Notamacropus eugenii: one gene and its partner. Each later gene encodes a partner of the first gene's protein in a complex. Links are inferred from orthologs where the notes say so. Each region holds a gene or a part of one and is shown in the gene's direction. Other genes may lie near its edges.

Evidence for each region. The genes of interacting proteins can lie anywhere in the genome.
Region 2: the proteins of CALCR (region 1) and RAMP2 are in contact, whole or in part, in a cryo-EM structure (PDB 7TYX), measured with the Homo sapiens proteins. The link is inferred for Notamacropus eugenii from reciprocal best matches to the Homo sapiens genes CALCR and RAMP2. Residues at the interface, in NP_001158210.1 of Homo sapiens: Arg45, Lys46, Met48, Met49, Asp50, Gln52, Tyr53, Lys54, Tyr56, Asp57, Met59, Gln60, Trp76, Gly78, Arg126, Phe235, Leu238, Ile242, Thr246, Val250, Glu255, Lys256, Gln257, Arg258, Trp261, Tyr262, Leu264, Leu265, Phe269, Pro273; in NP_005845.2 of Homo sapiens: Trp86, Tyr93, Ser94, Arg97, Asp98, Glu101, Leu109, Pro112, Glu117, Ile120, Phe121, His124, Phe128, Cys131, Pro136, Phe138, Ser139, Asp140, Pro141, Leu146, Met149, Ile150, Pro153, Ile154, Leu156, Ile157, Leu160, Ile161, Leu163, Val164.

The regions. Positions count from the first base shown.
Region 1 is NC_092874.1:489,278,841-489,286,632, reverse strand, and holds the start of CALCR (calcitonin receptor), read left to right. Parts: upstream 1-4,746; 5' UTR 4,747-4,837; intron 4,838-7,792. UniProt on the Homo sapiens protein: G protein-coupled receptor activated by ligand peptides amylin (IAPP), calcitonin (CT/CALCA) and calcitonin gene-related peptide type 1 (CGRP1/CALCA).
Region 2 is NC_092873.1:359,293,146-359,300,097, forward strand, and holds RAMP2 (receptor activity-modifying protein 2), read left to right. Parts: upstream 1-4,082; 5' UTR 4,083-4,217; coding exon of another isoform or gene 4,218-4,314; 5' UTR 4,315-4,407; coding exon 4,408-4,522; intron 4,523-5,126; coding exon 5,127-5,198; intron 5,199-5,560; coding exon 5,561-5,678; intron 5,679-5,892; coding exon 5,893-6,151; 3' UTR 6,152-6,387; downstream 6,388-6,952. UniProt on the Homo sapiens protein: Accessory protein that interacts with and modulates the function of G-protein coupled receptors including calcitonin gene-related peptide type 1 receptor (CALCRL) and calcitonin receptor (CALCR). Required for the transport of CALCRL to the plasma membrane.

The DNA.
Region 1 (7,792 bases):
CTCTATTCCAGTCAGCATGAATCAGTTTGATGTGATTTCAGAGCAGTGGGGATAGTATATTCTGAGCATTAGGCCCCAGACCTGTGAACTGAAGATTGTAAGTTCACTTGCTTAATTATAGAAAGTTGACTGGAGAACCCCCACCCTTGTTTTTCCTTATTACAGTGACCAAGTGAACATGGCAGAGGCGACTCAATTATATGGAAAGTCCTCCAACTTATTTTTGTACCTCCAGACCACACTTTCTTGCCCAACATGAGCAGGTGACCATCTTATTACCATTTGGTCACCAGAGATGACTCCTCCCTTATCCATCTTCATTTTGGGCCCTTAAAGCAAAGTTTATCAACCAATGGAATTCTGTATTTTGTGTAACCTCTCTGAACTACTCAGGTATCAAACCTTATCAGATCCTAGTATCAAACCTTATTTAAAAAAAATAAGGCCTGGGAGAAAGAAGGCATCTCAGATCATGGAGAAGATCTGAGGTCTACTTCATTATAGGGACTTCTTCCTCCCAGGCTGACTCCAGCTTACTTTTCCAGGCTGATTCACAGAATCACAGATTGGAGACTTGGAAAGGACCTCAGTGGCCACCCTGGGCCCAAAAGGAATCCCCACTAGAACCTGTTCCAGTGTCAGATGAGTCTTCAGACACAGGCTGTCGTCTAGTCCAGGGATGGGGAGCATGTGGTCTCAAGACCACATGTGGCCCTCTAGGTCCTCGAGTGTGGCCCTTTGACTGAATGCAAACTTCACAGAACAAATCCCCTTCATAAAAGAATTTGTTCTGTAAAACTTGGGCTCAGTCAAAAGGCTGCACCTGAGGACCTAGAAAGCCACATGTGGCCTCAAGGCTGAAGGTTCCCCACCCCCTATCTAGTCAAACTGGTCCACTCACTTCTGCCCACACATCATCCCATCTCCATGCCTTTCCTTGCCCAGCATGTTCCTCATGCCAGGAATGTCCTCCCTCCTCACATCTACCTTCCAGAACAACTAGATTCCCTTCAAGCTAAGCTCAAGCCCCACTTCCTACTGTATGTCCTGCTGCACCCCATGCTAATGCTTTCCTGCAGATTGTATGTGCTAATTCATACTGTTTCCCCCTCCCCCTAAGAATAGAAGCTCTTGGAGGGCAGATATTATTTGAAGTTTGCCTTTGAAGCTGCGGAACTCAGTTCCTGGCACAGAGGAAGCATTTAATAAATGCTTGTTGAGTGAATTAAGGATGTTAACCTGACTCTATCCATGAAGGGCTCATTTTAGGCTTTGGATAAAGTCATGATATAACAGTCTCCAAGTGTCAAAGTGAGAGCTGACTGCCTTCTTGCTCACCTTCCTTTCTTCCTTTCACTTAATGAAGACTCAGAGTTAGAGGCTGGGAGAGAGGAGGGAGGAAGAAGGGAGAATGTAAGAATAGAAGGTGTCAGGCATAGGACAGGATGTGAATAGTCACACACAGACTCAGATCTCTATCTAATTAACATCTAGATGCATCTTTGAGTTCAAAATAAACAATGGTTATTGAAAGCTTACTATGTACTGGGACCTCTACTAGAAACCTCAGGGACCACAAGAGAGTAAAAGGAAGCCCCTGCCCTCATGTGGCATGAGATATGGGGAGTGGGGCAGAGGTGGGGAGGGACAAGCACTCAAATGACTGAACAGTGGAGTAGGACAAATCAGAGCCATTAGAAGTGCGCAGAGAAGTACAGAGACACCCCTCTCAGGGTTAGGGTTCAGGGTGTGAGCAGGGTGTGAGCGGGGCAGGCTTCATGAAAAAAGGCAGTATTTCCAAGTAGCACAACATTTCTGATCCAGAAAGGACCTTAGACAGTGCTCATCCCTATGTTAAGAGCACTAGTGCTGTCTCTGGTACTAAAAAGGTCTCTGGTTTGGGGGAGGGGGAGATCAGTGCACCTCTGCACATGAACAGAAGTAAAGAGTGAGAGAAATCTAAGCATGGGGAACAACCTGTGAGAGGCGAAAGGCAGTAGTTGGAATGTCACATATGGAGACTAACAAACGGGTCTCCAGGAGGAACATGGAGCGAGTGAAGGGGGGGGGGGGGATGTGAAATCATTGGAAACAGATGTTGGAGCCAGGTGGTGAAGCCAAACTGAGGGGTGGGGAGTTATTTCATAGAAGAGGCAGGGGGGGATCTCTGAAGTTACTTGAACAAGTGAGGTCCTCTGGTCTCCCTTGAGCTTTAGGAAGTTGTTAGCAGGTGTGCTGAGGATGGATTGGAGACTGATTAGAAGACCTCAAGGGGTGCTGAGGACATGGACTGGGAGAAGAATGTGTGGGGTGCGGAACTGACAAGACGTGTAAACATTGGTTGGAGCACAGAGTGAGTGCCAAGGAAGAATGAAGGATTGAGGTAGGGCAGACAGAGAGATATATAGAGACACAGAGAGAGACAGAGACAGAAGAGAAGAAGGTTCACAGACTCCCAACATCCAGACAGAGGGTCCCCTAATTTCAGGCTTGTTAATAATAAACTGAAGGATCCATATGTCTGCAGAGGTAGTAAGGTATTGAGATCAGATTAGAATTCAGGTCTTCCTAACTTCAGGACCAGCATTGCATCTACTCCACTAGGCTGCCAGATTTCAGGGTTTGAGAAGTAAATGGAGTGAGAACATGATTCCTGGATTCTCCTTCTAGGAGTTTCTCTAAGGGCACAGAGACTTTTTGAAGCTTCCACTGTTGCATCAGGAAGTAGACCTCCAGCTACCTGGGAAGATCCTTAACTCAGCACTTGCTGACATCCTTCCAGGTAGGCTAGTGGGTGAGTACCTCAGGGTTGGCCCAGAAGTACAGGATTTGGTCAGGACCCATGTACGAAGGAACTTGGCCTGGGGTCCCAGAGCCTGGATAGAGCAGAGGGTAACCTACCTTGGAGATCCCTTGAGCACTTGGAAGTACACTGGCAAATCCCTGGAGCTGCAGAGGAGTGGATAGAGGAGACAAAATCAAAGGATGCCCCTTTTCCCAGAGGAAGTTACAATGCCTGACCCTGAGTCCTGCAGGGCTACAGGACTTCATGGGGATATTCAAAGTCTCTTTCTCCTCCCCATACTCCCACAGGGGAAAGTGAGAGGAGCATGGGCTGCTGCCAAGGGTATCCCAGGTTCCCAGTGGATCTCCGCTTTGGCCAGTGGACAAAGGCCCTTCACATTGATACTATCTACAGCTGTTACTCCCTTTCTCCCTAGCTGCGTACCTGCTGTGACTGCAATGTCAGGCTCCCTGGAATGGGGGGAAGAGGCTCCAGGCAGATGTTCTCAGACAAAACTCCCTTATCCCCGTCCCCAGCCAGATTGTCCCTCCCCCAGATCTGGTCAAGGGATAGGAAAGCTTTGATCTCCAGGTCACATGTGGCCCTTCAGGTCCTCAAGTGCAACCCTTTGATTGAATCTAAGCTTCACAGAACAAATCCCCTTCGTAAAAACCATTGGCCCAGGCACTAGCATGGACATTAGCAAGAAACCCATTAGCAGGAAATTCATCTGCCACTTCCAAGCTCCAGCCCCAACTAGGACAACTGCCCACCCTGCCCAAACCAAACTAGTCCCAGCCCAGCCCTGCCCAGCCCTGCCCTGCCCAGCCCAGCCCTGCCCAGCCCTGCTCAGCCCTTCTTCCCCATCCTGCCCCAGTCAGGGCTGTGTCTGAGAAGCCTTGTCCTTTGCAGGAGGTTACCCGTACCGTGAGGAATGCCCTTCTGGGACGAGGTTGGCAGTGAGGTTGGGAGACACTGCTGAGCACCCCTTCCCTCCAAAGTAGGGGCAACTCTGCTCCTTCATACCCGAAGTAAGGCCTGGCATGTATCCACCACAGCATCCATCTCCATGAGGCAGACTGGCGGGGTTCAGCTGCTCCCCCAGATCCCTCAACCCCCCCAGCTCCCCAGCTCCTCCAGCCCTTTCTCTGTCTCTATTCTCCTTTGGACTCCAAGTTCCCCTCCCGAGACGTGTTCTCCCTCTTATCCACACTCACCTCCATTCCTGCTTTCCATCTCCGGGTAGGCTGTCCCCCAGACATACACATACACACCCGCACGCACTCGCTAGACACGCACACTTTCCATCCTCACCCACCCAGCTTGCGTCCCTGGACCTGGGAGGGGAAGGGAAAAAAGAGGAGGGAGGAGGAGCAATGGGGGGTGGGGGGGAGCGCGAGGAGTGAAGCGGGTGGAGAAGGAAGAAGAAGAGGAAGACAGGGGAGGGAGGAAGAGTGGGGGAGGGGGAGGAGGGCGCGCGTTACCTGGAAGCTCCTAGGACCACTCCGGCAGCTAAGACGCTCAGTCGTGGCCACAGTCGGGTCTAAGCCCAGAGGGCTGGGGGCAGGGGGCGGGGAAGAAGCTGCCCTAACTCTCCGCCTTCCTCCAGGGCTGAGCGACCGAAGCCTCCGGGGCAGCTCTCCCCCTGCCTGGGCTGGCTAAGCAGCGAGCTTCCCCTCAGCCTGCGCGCAGAGCCTACCGCCGGAGCTCCCGCCAGCGTACCGGGGGCGCTCCTGCTCTCGGACTCGGACCCGGACCTGACTCTGAGAGGCGACCGCTGTGCCCGGGACTGACTGACGTATCGACAAGAGGACTGACGTCCGAGAGCTCAGCCTCGAGGGAGGCGATGCCCCCCTAGCCCCCCGCTCCCTGGGAGTGAAGACGGCGGCTTGAGCTGCGCTGCTCTGCCCGAGCGCAGTGGGGGCCCCACCTCGGGGCGGGGGGGTGATCTGTGGCGGGCCTGAAGACCGAGCCAGGACCCCAGGAGGGGACCAGAGAGAACGGCGAGGAGCAGAGCTAGATCCGCGGAGGGGCTCAGGAAGCGGCCACCGGGTAAGTGCCCACAAGTTTGGCCTCCTGCATCCTGGTGGGGGGGTATCCGGAGAGCAGGAGAAGTGGGGAACCCGAAGCTCCTAGGTGGGCGGCCCGGAGGGAAGGAGCTGCGGACGTTTGCGGAGATAAGCAGGCACCCACCTGTGCTTTGCGCCCGAGCGCCCCCTTCCCCGGAGCCCTGGAGGGTGTAGGGGAGATGGCAGGGAGGCAGAGCCCAGGGACTGGGCGCGAGCTTCTAACCTAACTCAACCATCTCTGACGCGCCTGGCTTGCCCAGTTCTGTCCCACACCCGGGCGCCCCAGGATCTTATGGTGTGGCAGCGGGAGGGTGGCGCAGAGGACCGGGCCGCGTGTCTCGTAGCACACGCAGCTTGGTGGGCGCCTCTGCCGCCAGCAGAGTGCGCGTGTATGTGTATACCTGGGTGTGCGCGGGCGCTGGTGGCTCTGGGGTGTGCACAGAGCTGGGAATCGCCTGGCACTGGAAGGGTTGGACAGGACCTGGAGCCGACCAGGGGCTGCACTGCCGAGGGAAGATGGATACCCTCCGAGCCTTGGAGGGAGGTTGACTCAGGGTTCCCGGTCTGGTCGCAATTCGAGCAGCGGTTGGGCATATTCTCTTACGAAGATGGCTTTTGGCGGCGGCTGCAGCCCGAGAACGCAGCTCTTGCAGTCAGGAGTTCTGGGTGTAAATCCGGCCCCAGCTACTTGGTGGCTAAGTGATCTCTCTCTTCTGGGTGCCTCGGTTTACTCGGCTGTAAACTAGGCAGAACGACAAAAGAGAGAGAACTCTTGGGCAGTGAGTGGGCAGCGCTGTCCCTGGGTCCCTCCTACCCAGAGCAGAAGGGCCTGGCCGCTCCTACCACAGCTGCTCCTCTCCCCCAGATGTTTTATAGACGTCAAAGTTACCAGATGACTTCTTTTAACTTCAGAGAGGTGGACAGAGCTCAAGCTGGGCGCCTTATTCTAGACAGGTCCCAGAGAGCAAGACAAGCCCTCCGCCCCCTCCCCGCTTGCCGCCATAGGCTGGCCTGGCCCGGGTGTGGGAATGGGGCTCAACCAGCTGTAATTACAGTATGGTGGTGCTGCTAAAGGCCCACCCTGGTCGGTTGCCCAGCCTCGAATTCTCCTGTCCTGTGAGAGTCTGGGAGACCTTCAGTCTTTTTCCTGAAGGTTTTTCTCTATGGAGGGATGGGATGTGACAGGATGGGACGACCAGACAGGTCCTAATGGGTTGGGAAGGGATAGGATGCGATGGAATGGGTTGGAACCGCTAAGATCTGGTCCTACGCAATAACGTTCTTCCTGAGGTGGCCTTTGGCCTAGAGAGATTCAGTCTGATGGTGATAGCAAAAGAGTCATGGCTGCTATGGTGAGAGGGGGAGGAAGGCAGGGAGGGAATGAGGGAAAAAGAGAGAGAGAGAGAGAGAGAGAGAGAGAGAGAGAGAGAGAGAGAGAGATTGAACTAGGGACACTGGAGAACCCAGGATGGGCTGTGTTAAGGAGGGAGCCCCAGAACCCAGTAACTCCCTAGGCAGGCTAGAGGGGCCCCAAGGGCTGTGAGTCTCCAGGTACTCTCAGAGTGATTGTGGAAATCACCAAAAGACCTGGGAAGGGAAGGGAGCCTGAAAAGGTTGACTCTGGGAGACATGTGCATCTAGTTGCCTGCCCTATTCTACATGCTAAGGACATAGGACATAAAAGTGGCTCTCTGTTCTTGCCCAATACCCACAAACTTCCCAAACAGACAGGGCTTTCCAATGACCCTAGCTCAGGAAGAAGACCAATGTTAAAATATGCAAATGACACGCTTATGTAACTGCATTATGAAATTAGGACAAGATCATTAGATTTTCAAAATGTCCGAAGTGTCTGTGCCCAAACTCTTAAGTGTTGCCGGGGCCCTCACAGGCAGGCTTGCTTTGGTTTCATGCCTTAAACCTGAAGTTCATTTTAAGTATGATTTTCTCCAGTGGAGAAATGCTATTATCTGGAAAGTGCTGCCAGAATGGCTATTGGTCAAGGTAGCATGCTGGTCACCCAAGTCACCCTTCCTGCCACCCATTTGCCATTGCATCAGAAAGCTAGGAGGGAGATTCCTTCCCCTCCTGGCTCTCCTGCAGACAAGCAAGAAATGAGCCAATCGAAGCAGTCTTCCTTTTTTCAGGATTTGTAGCCCCAGCTGAAAAGCAGGATAGCAGCCCCAAAGACACCAGCCCTGGCTTCCCTCAGGCCTGGTGATCCCCCACTCCCTTCTAAACCCGAACTCATTTTGTTGAGATGCGACCTAGCCTGAAGAGTCCTCCAGTCTGCAGAGCTTCTAGAAGTGCTAGCCATGGGCTCCTAGGCCAGGAAAGAGCTTGATCTAAAAGCCAAAGCAAATTCATCCATCTTTGTCATTCATCCCCTTCCCATCTACAGCCCCGCCTCTCTGAGCTTTACTCTAAAGAGGAGAGTGGGGCTTTCATCTTCTCTCTCACTGCCTGGAGACCAGAAAGCTTCTAACCAACAGGAAGGAAAAAAAATTTCCCAAATGGAGACAGTGGCTTTGAAATGTTTTTGCCAAGTGGGGCTTAGGAAGTCTGTTCTGAAATGCCTCTCCCATGTCCAAGGCATCTGCTCAAATCCCTGAACCCTCTCCCTTTTGAGAAGAAGCCCAGCCAGACCTCAGGGGTACTTACAAAAACAAAGCTTTTATAGGACTCCGTGATCAGTTTATGTGACTGTTTCATGATCATCGAAGCCACTTGATCTGTAACCTTGGGTGGTGACCTGGAGCTAACATCAGGCACAGGCTGTGGTCACAGCAGCTGCTGTTCTAAGAGCAGAATAGCACTCACCTCCATTCTCTTGGGGCTTTACAGCACCTGCCAATCTCTGGCCTCCAAGATTTAGTTTCAAAATTGAGTGATACAGAAGGGATACTATGCAAGTCTTACTCATGACAATTATCTCATT
Region 2 (6,952 bases), on another chromosome or scaffold:
TTTGAATGCTTGGCAATTCAGCTCTTGAAAGGACCTCAGTGTCCAGTACCTTATCTTATCGGGTGATCTTCAGAATCTTCCTAAGACAATTCAAATAGAAGTGATTTGGTTTCCTGGCATGACATTGGTATATTGCCCAGGTTTTACAGGCATAGTACAATGGAGTCAGCATAACAGTTCTGTAGACTTTCAGTTTGGTAGGCAGCCTAATACCTCTTCTCTCTCACATTTTCCTTCAGTCACCCAAACACTGAACTATGTCTGGCGATGTGTGCATCATCTTTGTGCATATTCTTGTAAAGTGTACTACCACGGTAAGTGAACTTATCCACATCATTCAAAATGTCTCCATTTGCTATAACTGATGGTTCCATGAATGGATGGTGTAGAGGGGTGCTGGATGGTGTATCTTCTTGGTGTTAACTGTCAGACCAAAATTAGCACAAGCAGCAGAGAATCAATCCATATTCTGCTTCATCTCAGTCTCAGAAGCTACACTGAGTGCACAATCATGTGCAAGCAAAAAGTCATGCACCAACTCTCCATTTTAGTCTTGGTGTGTAGCCTTTTCAAGTTAAATAATTTACCCTCAGTGTGGTCACTGACCTTGATGCCATTTTTGTCCTCTCTGAAGGCATCTGAGAACACTGCTGAAAATATCATGCTGAAAAGTATGGGAGCAGGCATAAAGCTTTGTTTCACTCTTTTGGTGACTGGGAAAGTTTGAGAGCTGTTAAGGTAAGCTCAGTTCTCATGTGAACGGTCTCGGGTCAGGTATGAGGCCCCCCAGAGAACAGCTGGGAATTGAGGAGTGAGACACGAGCTATCTCGTTTTCCACCTCTTCTCAGTGGAAACTTGCTGGGGAGAGCATCCTACCCTTGAGATTGGTCCGTGTTCTGAGCACACCTTTTGTTAATTAGCTAAGGGGCTGAGAGCATGCACAGTGTCCATGAGCGAACTATGCAGCAGGGAGAGCTTAAATGGGGATAGGAAAGCCTGAGAGGGGGTTGTTGTTGTTCTTCCTTGCTCCTCGGGAGGGAGAAGGGGGCTCCCGTGGGGAGCACTAGCCCTGCATGCTGACATGTAGCTTGTATCCGGAATAAAGCCTACACCCCTGTTTGACTCTGGAGGTCTCTTCTCTCATATGTTTATCTGGCTGGCCACCAAAGACCTGATATAAGTAAGAGGACCCGGGCAGCCCACGGCAATTAGGCCAGTCAGAGAGCATCATCCATTGTCCAGAACTCATGAAAGCATGCCATCATGGAATTGGGGTACGATACTAATGAACTTCTCTGGGCAACTAAAATTTGCCTTGATTTTCCACACACCCTCATGATTGACATTAACAAAGACATTGGGCAGATTGAAAAATGTATTCAGACTTCTGTTTTGCTCATGGTAGAGTTGTCAGGCAAAAACACCATATCAACCATTCCTCAACCCTTTCAGAAGCCACACTTCAATGTGCTTAAAGAGGATAAGCTTTAACTATTACCTCTGTGTTGATGACTCTCAGCCTCTAAAAAACTAGCTCTAAAAAACTCTCTTCTAAGTTCCAGACCTGTATTTCCAACTGCCTAATAGTCTCTACCAAAATGTCCCACTTTTAACTCATATTCAACACTTCTAAAACTAGGCTATCTTTTTCCTTTAATCTGCTCCTCCTTTTCAGTGCCCAGAGCCTCTGGGGCTTCTTTTCCAACTTCTTTTGGAATTGAAAGAATGGGTTCCTAAAGGGGGAGATTCAGTAAGGAACACTGAAGGACTAGATTTCTAATACTATGATGGATGAGACCACTCTAATGTTCTTCTCATTGATTATCAGGCTGACTTAATTAGCTTTTTGTAAAGGGCAATTACCAAGGTAGTTTAATAAGAACATTTGGTACAAGAAACCTGGGCTACACTCTCTTACAAGTGTAAAGAATCCAGGGGAAGAGTAGACTGGTTGTGAGGGAAATGGGCAGGATACACATGGGACAAAGGGGTAAATTCATATCACCTGGGTACTGGATTCCATAGTCAGCATTATTTTCTAGAACAAGGGATCTGGCTCCTTGTAATTGTTTCCTTCCTTGGGTAGCTATCCTTCAACATCTCTCTATGTCCATGTTTATCCCTGGTTTGTTTCTCCCTGCTCTTGGCTGGATGCCTTGTCTCTTCTCTTCTCTCCAATGACATGGTCAATGGGGATGGGGGGTGAGGGGTGGAAGGGAAATGAGAGAGAGGGAAAAATTATTTCCCCCTCCAAAGGAGTAATTCCCTCTGAACCTGAAGTGATTCTTTGAGAGATGGCTGGACTAGGTCAGCTACTGCAAATCCTTTGTTATTTAAATCCTCCAGGGATATAGTTAGCCTAGTGCAGGTCTTTATCTCTCACTAATGTTACTGAAATAACCACCTAAACAGACTTTTCACCTCCAATTCATCCTTTTCTCTTTCTCTAACCCTTAACACTACTGCCAGACTAATCCTTATGCATATAGAAGGGTGGCTGTGGATTGATTTAGTCAGTCAAGTCATTCCCACATCAAAAAAGTAGGCTATGGCCTGTCCCCAAATTATTAATACTGCATCCTTATATTTAAGTACAAGCCTGTCAGAAACAAGTTTTTAAATTAGTGTAACATTATTTTCCTCCTCTTTTTGATTATGGTTATAACGTTGGTAATAATATAAGACCTGAATGTATAAAGTGAATCCCTTTGTCCTCAAACCTCAAACCATGGCCACATCCATCTGAGTATTTCCAGCAGCAAGTATAAGTGGAACCCGGATGGAAGGGAGAGAGACATGGGGGAAAGAGACTAGAAGAGGGAAAATTACCAACTCTTTCCCCACTAAGTAGACCTCCAAGTCTGAGAGCAGACATTTAGACCCTTAGCTGTCCAAGTCACCTCTTTTGGTCCCAGATGTGCAAACTACCTGAACCATGATAATGAAGGTGATTTAACCTTAAACTTTCACTTCAACCCTATTATGATAACAACCCACAGCCCCAAATCTAATTCTAGTCCATATCCTAGACAACTACATCCAGTAGTTAAAGATTTAGTAGAGCTGAGCAGGGAATCTAGGCTTACCCAAGGCATATATTGAGGTAAGGGGATACTTAGATATTTGAAGTTGTTTAGTAGGGGCGAAATCAGGAAACTTGTGGAGGCAATAGGAACAATTTAGGGTCAGTTTCAGGGGAGATGATGTTGACTGTGACTGTCATTATTCAGGTTGAGTCAGCACCTCTAACCTTATTCCATTCCCTCCAGGTTTTAACTCCACAGAATTTTGAGAATTTGTTCTATCTGCCCCTATCTGTCATGCTGGGTTCTGGACACCATCATGAGAATCCATTCATATTCCTTTCTTTGATGCTCTTAGGACCCAACGCTAATTCCCATAGGAGCTCTCACCTTCCTATCCACTAACCCACTGCTTATCCTCCTAAGAGCCAGCGACCCTGAAGGGAGGATAACAAGGCTCCAGTCCCCCCTTGCCCAGGCCCTTTCCCCGCCCAAAGAGGCCCCTTTCCCTCCCCTCCTCCTCTCGAGTTAGACTGGGCTGACATCAGAGGGTGTTCCCCTGGAAAAGAAATTCTGAGTTACCCGGCCCAAGGCCCAGCTCCAGGCAGCCCCTAGCTCGTTCCCAGTTCCTATTCTCCACCCCAGTCTGCTGCAGTCCCCAAATCCATACATTAGTTCAGTGAGGCCAGCGACCTCAGCCTGAGCCCCCAAACTTCCAGCTCAACTAAACTAAATTCCCTGTTCTTAGACCCCCTAAAGCAACTTGAGTTCCCCCACTTCCAAGGAGGAAACGGGGCGACTAAAGGGAGAAGAACAGGGAGTTCGGGAATCTAGGATTGCACGATTAGAGAGTTCAAGGGTCCTCTCTCAGAGAACTGCAAACTGCTTAGTTTCCAGGCTTCGAGGGGGAGCTGTCCAGCGAGTCGGGGCGCCTCGCTTTGAAGGGGAGGAGAGTCAAAGTTTTGGCGGGGCAGGAAGAGAAGAAGAGGCCACCGGGTGGGGAGGGGAAGCTGACTCCCCCTCTAGCCGTCCGGTCCGGGGCGTCCCCCGCCCCCCACGTGTCCACTGCTGCCCCAGCCCCTCGGAGGAAACGGCGCCGCTTCCTGCGGCTAGGGCCGGGGATATAGGCGTCCAGCCCCCCGCCCTGGCCCTGGCTCTGGGTCCGCCAGCTGCCTCTCTGCTTCGGCTGCACCATGGTCTCAATCGGAACCGGCTGTTCTGGCTCTCCTCATCTCCCTGCGACCCCAGCCAGACTTCGAAGCCCCCTCTGGCTCCTCCTCCTGCTCTGTTGTGAGTGAGATGCTTCCCGGGGCCTGGGGAAAGGGAGCCAGAAAGAGGGGCTGAGGAGAGGGGCAGGAGGAAGGACGGGTGTGAAGGACCGGGATGGAGGAGTTAGGGCTACTGAGAGAGAGGTGGCTCCGAATTTGGCGCACCATGTGTCTTGAAGCCCTCCACCCTACACCCTCTCGAGGAAGGTCCGAGCACTGTGGGGAAAAGGGTAAGGATGAGGAGGAAAGGAAGAACTTTGTGGGGGAGGAGTACGGGTTCAAGGAAGCTGTGGCCTGACTTTTCTTTCTAGCAGGGGCCTGTCCCAACCAGTTCCTTCCGGGAGCTTGGAAAAACCTATGCATGAAAGACTCAGTAGTCCCCTTTGCCCTAGTAAGTCCCAAGCCAGACTAACTTAGTCTTACCAGCAGCTAAGTCAGGAGAGCTTACATTGACATAGCAGTTTGCAGAGCACCGGTCTTGAAGCAGCCCTTGTCAGGAAGGTAGTTAAGTGTTACTGCCCCGATTTTACAAAAAATGGAAAACAGAGATTGTGAGGGATTGGGTGACTTGATCATTGCCATGAAGCTTGATCGAGATATCCAAATCTTCCTTGCTCTGGGACTCCAAAGCACCTGGGCCTTCTGACTCCAAACACATCACTTTTGCCAACCCATGCATGGATTCTTGAAAGGCTGTCCCTGGCCATCCTTTCTCCTTTCCCTTCTCCTTAATCCTTGCTCCCATCCTTTCTGCATTACCCTTGCAGCACTGGACTGAGGTTGATCCCCAGGACTTGCTGTCTCACTTCAGTTCATAGCTTCTTCTTCCCACAGTTACCCTAAATGCCCGAGGCTCTGAAGCTCAGACAGTCCCTGATATCACGGAACCCTCTAAATGGCAAAATGGTGAGTGTCCAATGACTGAAGAAAAGTGGCATTAAAAGAAGGGTCCAATTCCTGGCAATGCTTCCCCGGGGCATTCCCTATATACCTACATTGTTCTCTCTATCTGGCTGCTCCCTGTCCCCTGCCCTGGTAAACACAATTATTGCCCTTCCCCTTTGTTTCCTTTTCTCCCTCTATGTCTTTTGCTATTTTAAGCTCCTTAGTTGATTAAGGAGTTTGAGAGTATCCAGGGCTTCCATGGAATCTCAGGATTTGGAAGGAGGAGGAGAGATACCTTTGGTGGGGAAGATGTTCAGAGTTGTAAGAGTGGAAAGGCACCAAGGCACACAGGTGTGAAGGACCTTTTGCATTTGTGCCTATAGTGGAGGTGACCTCTGAGCAGAACTATGAACTAACAGCCAGACAATGCTGGTCGGACTATGAGGAACACATGGGAAACATCAGCAGAGAGGACTGGTGTGAATGGGACATGATCAGCAGGTAGGAGGCAGAGGCTGGGCTGGGAACTAGGCCATGGGCCTGGGGTAATAGACCAGAACCTAATGGGTGGGAACCTACTTCGAAGGGCTGGGGATTATCTTGAAGAATGAAGTACAAATGAAGGCAGGGCCCTGGGTCTGGGGTACAGGAGATGGCCTTTCCCCAGTCCTCCCTCATTCTGATTCTCATTTTACCCTTTCCCCCACCCCCACAGGCCATACAGCAACTTACAATACTGCCTGGAGAAACTGGCAGAATTTTTCAAACTGGGTTTCCCCAATCCCTGGGCTGAGCAGATCATCTTCCAGAGCCACCAGATGTACTTTGCCAACTGCTCATTAGAGCGTCGGCCCCTCTTCTTTGACCCCCCAGAGGAGGTGCTGCTCGCACTGATCATTGCTCCCATCTGCCTTATCCCTTTCCTTGTTACCCTGGTGGTATGGCGGAGTAAGGACAGTGAGGTCCAGACATAAAACATCCCTACCCCTCATCAAAATATCTCAGTCTAATTTCCAGTTCCTCTCCTCCCTGGGACTCTATTCCATCACCCCTACCCCACCCTGCCCTCAATAACCCCTTGGGGAAGCTCAGTCTGAACTTCTGGGGGAAATGGGGGCAGAAAGGGAAAGACAGATGGGAACATGGGCTCTAGAATTACCATAACAAATAAACCAATTGTTGGGTTTTCCCCATAGAAGTTCTCCATAAAGTCATGTGTCTTATCTCTCAGAGTCTTTGTTTATGGCATGATCCCTGGGCTTCAAGTCGCAAGGATGGAAGGAACCAGATGGAGTCCACACTCCCTCTCATAAAAGCTTTCCTGATCTTTTCCTCCATTCCTGCTCCTTCCTCTGAGGGTAGGGCCCTTCCTGACACTGCTCCTAACCCAGCTCCAGGAAACATTCAGGAAACAACTCCCATCCGCCCTGGATAGGAAGATATGATGGGGGGAGGGGGTGCAGGGAGGGGGAAATATAATATCCTTACTTTCCTGGCCTTAGTTCCCTTTGTAGGGCCTGAAGGGCTAGACATTCTAAGAGGACTCCAAGGAGATTCATCCAAAGAGGTCCAGGACAGACAGCAGTATGTAACAGAGGCTCTCTCCCAGTCACACTGAGGTCCCTCCTGGTCCCTGTTCTCCCCTCTCCCTCTAAGACAGAAGTGTTATCTACAGTTCTAGACACCAAACTGCAGCCTGGCCATGTGCTGCCCTCTGGTGTCCATGCAAATCAAGGACACTCAAAGGTGGATGGGCCCAATGAAATGACCCAAGA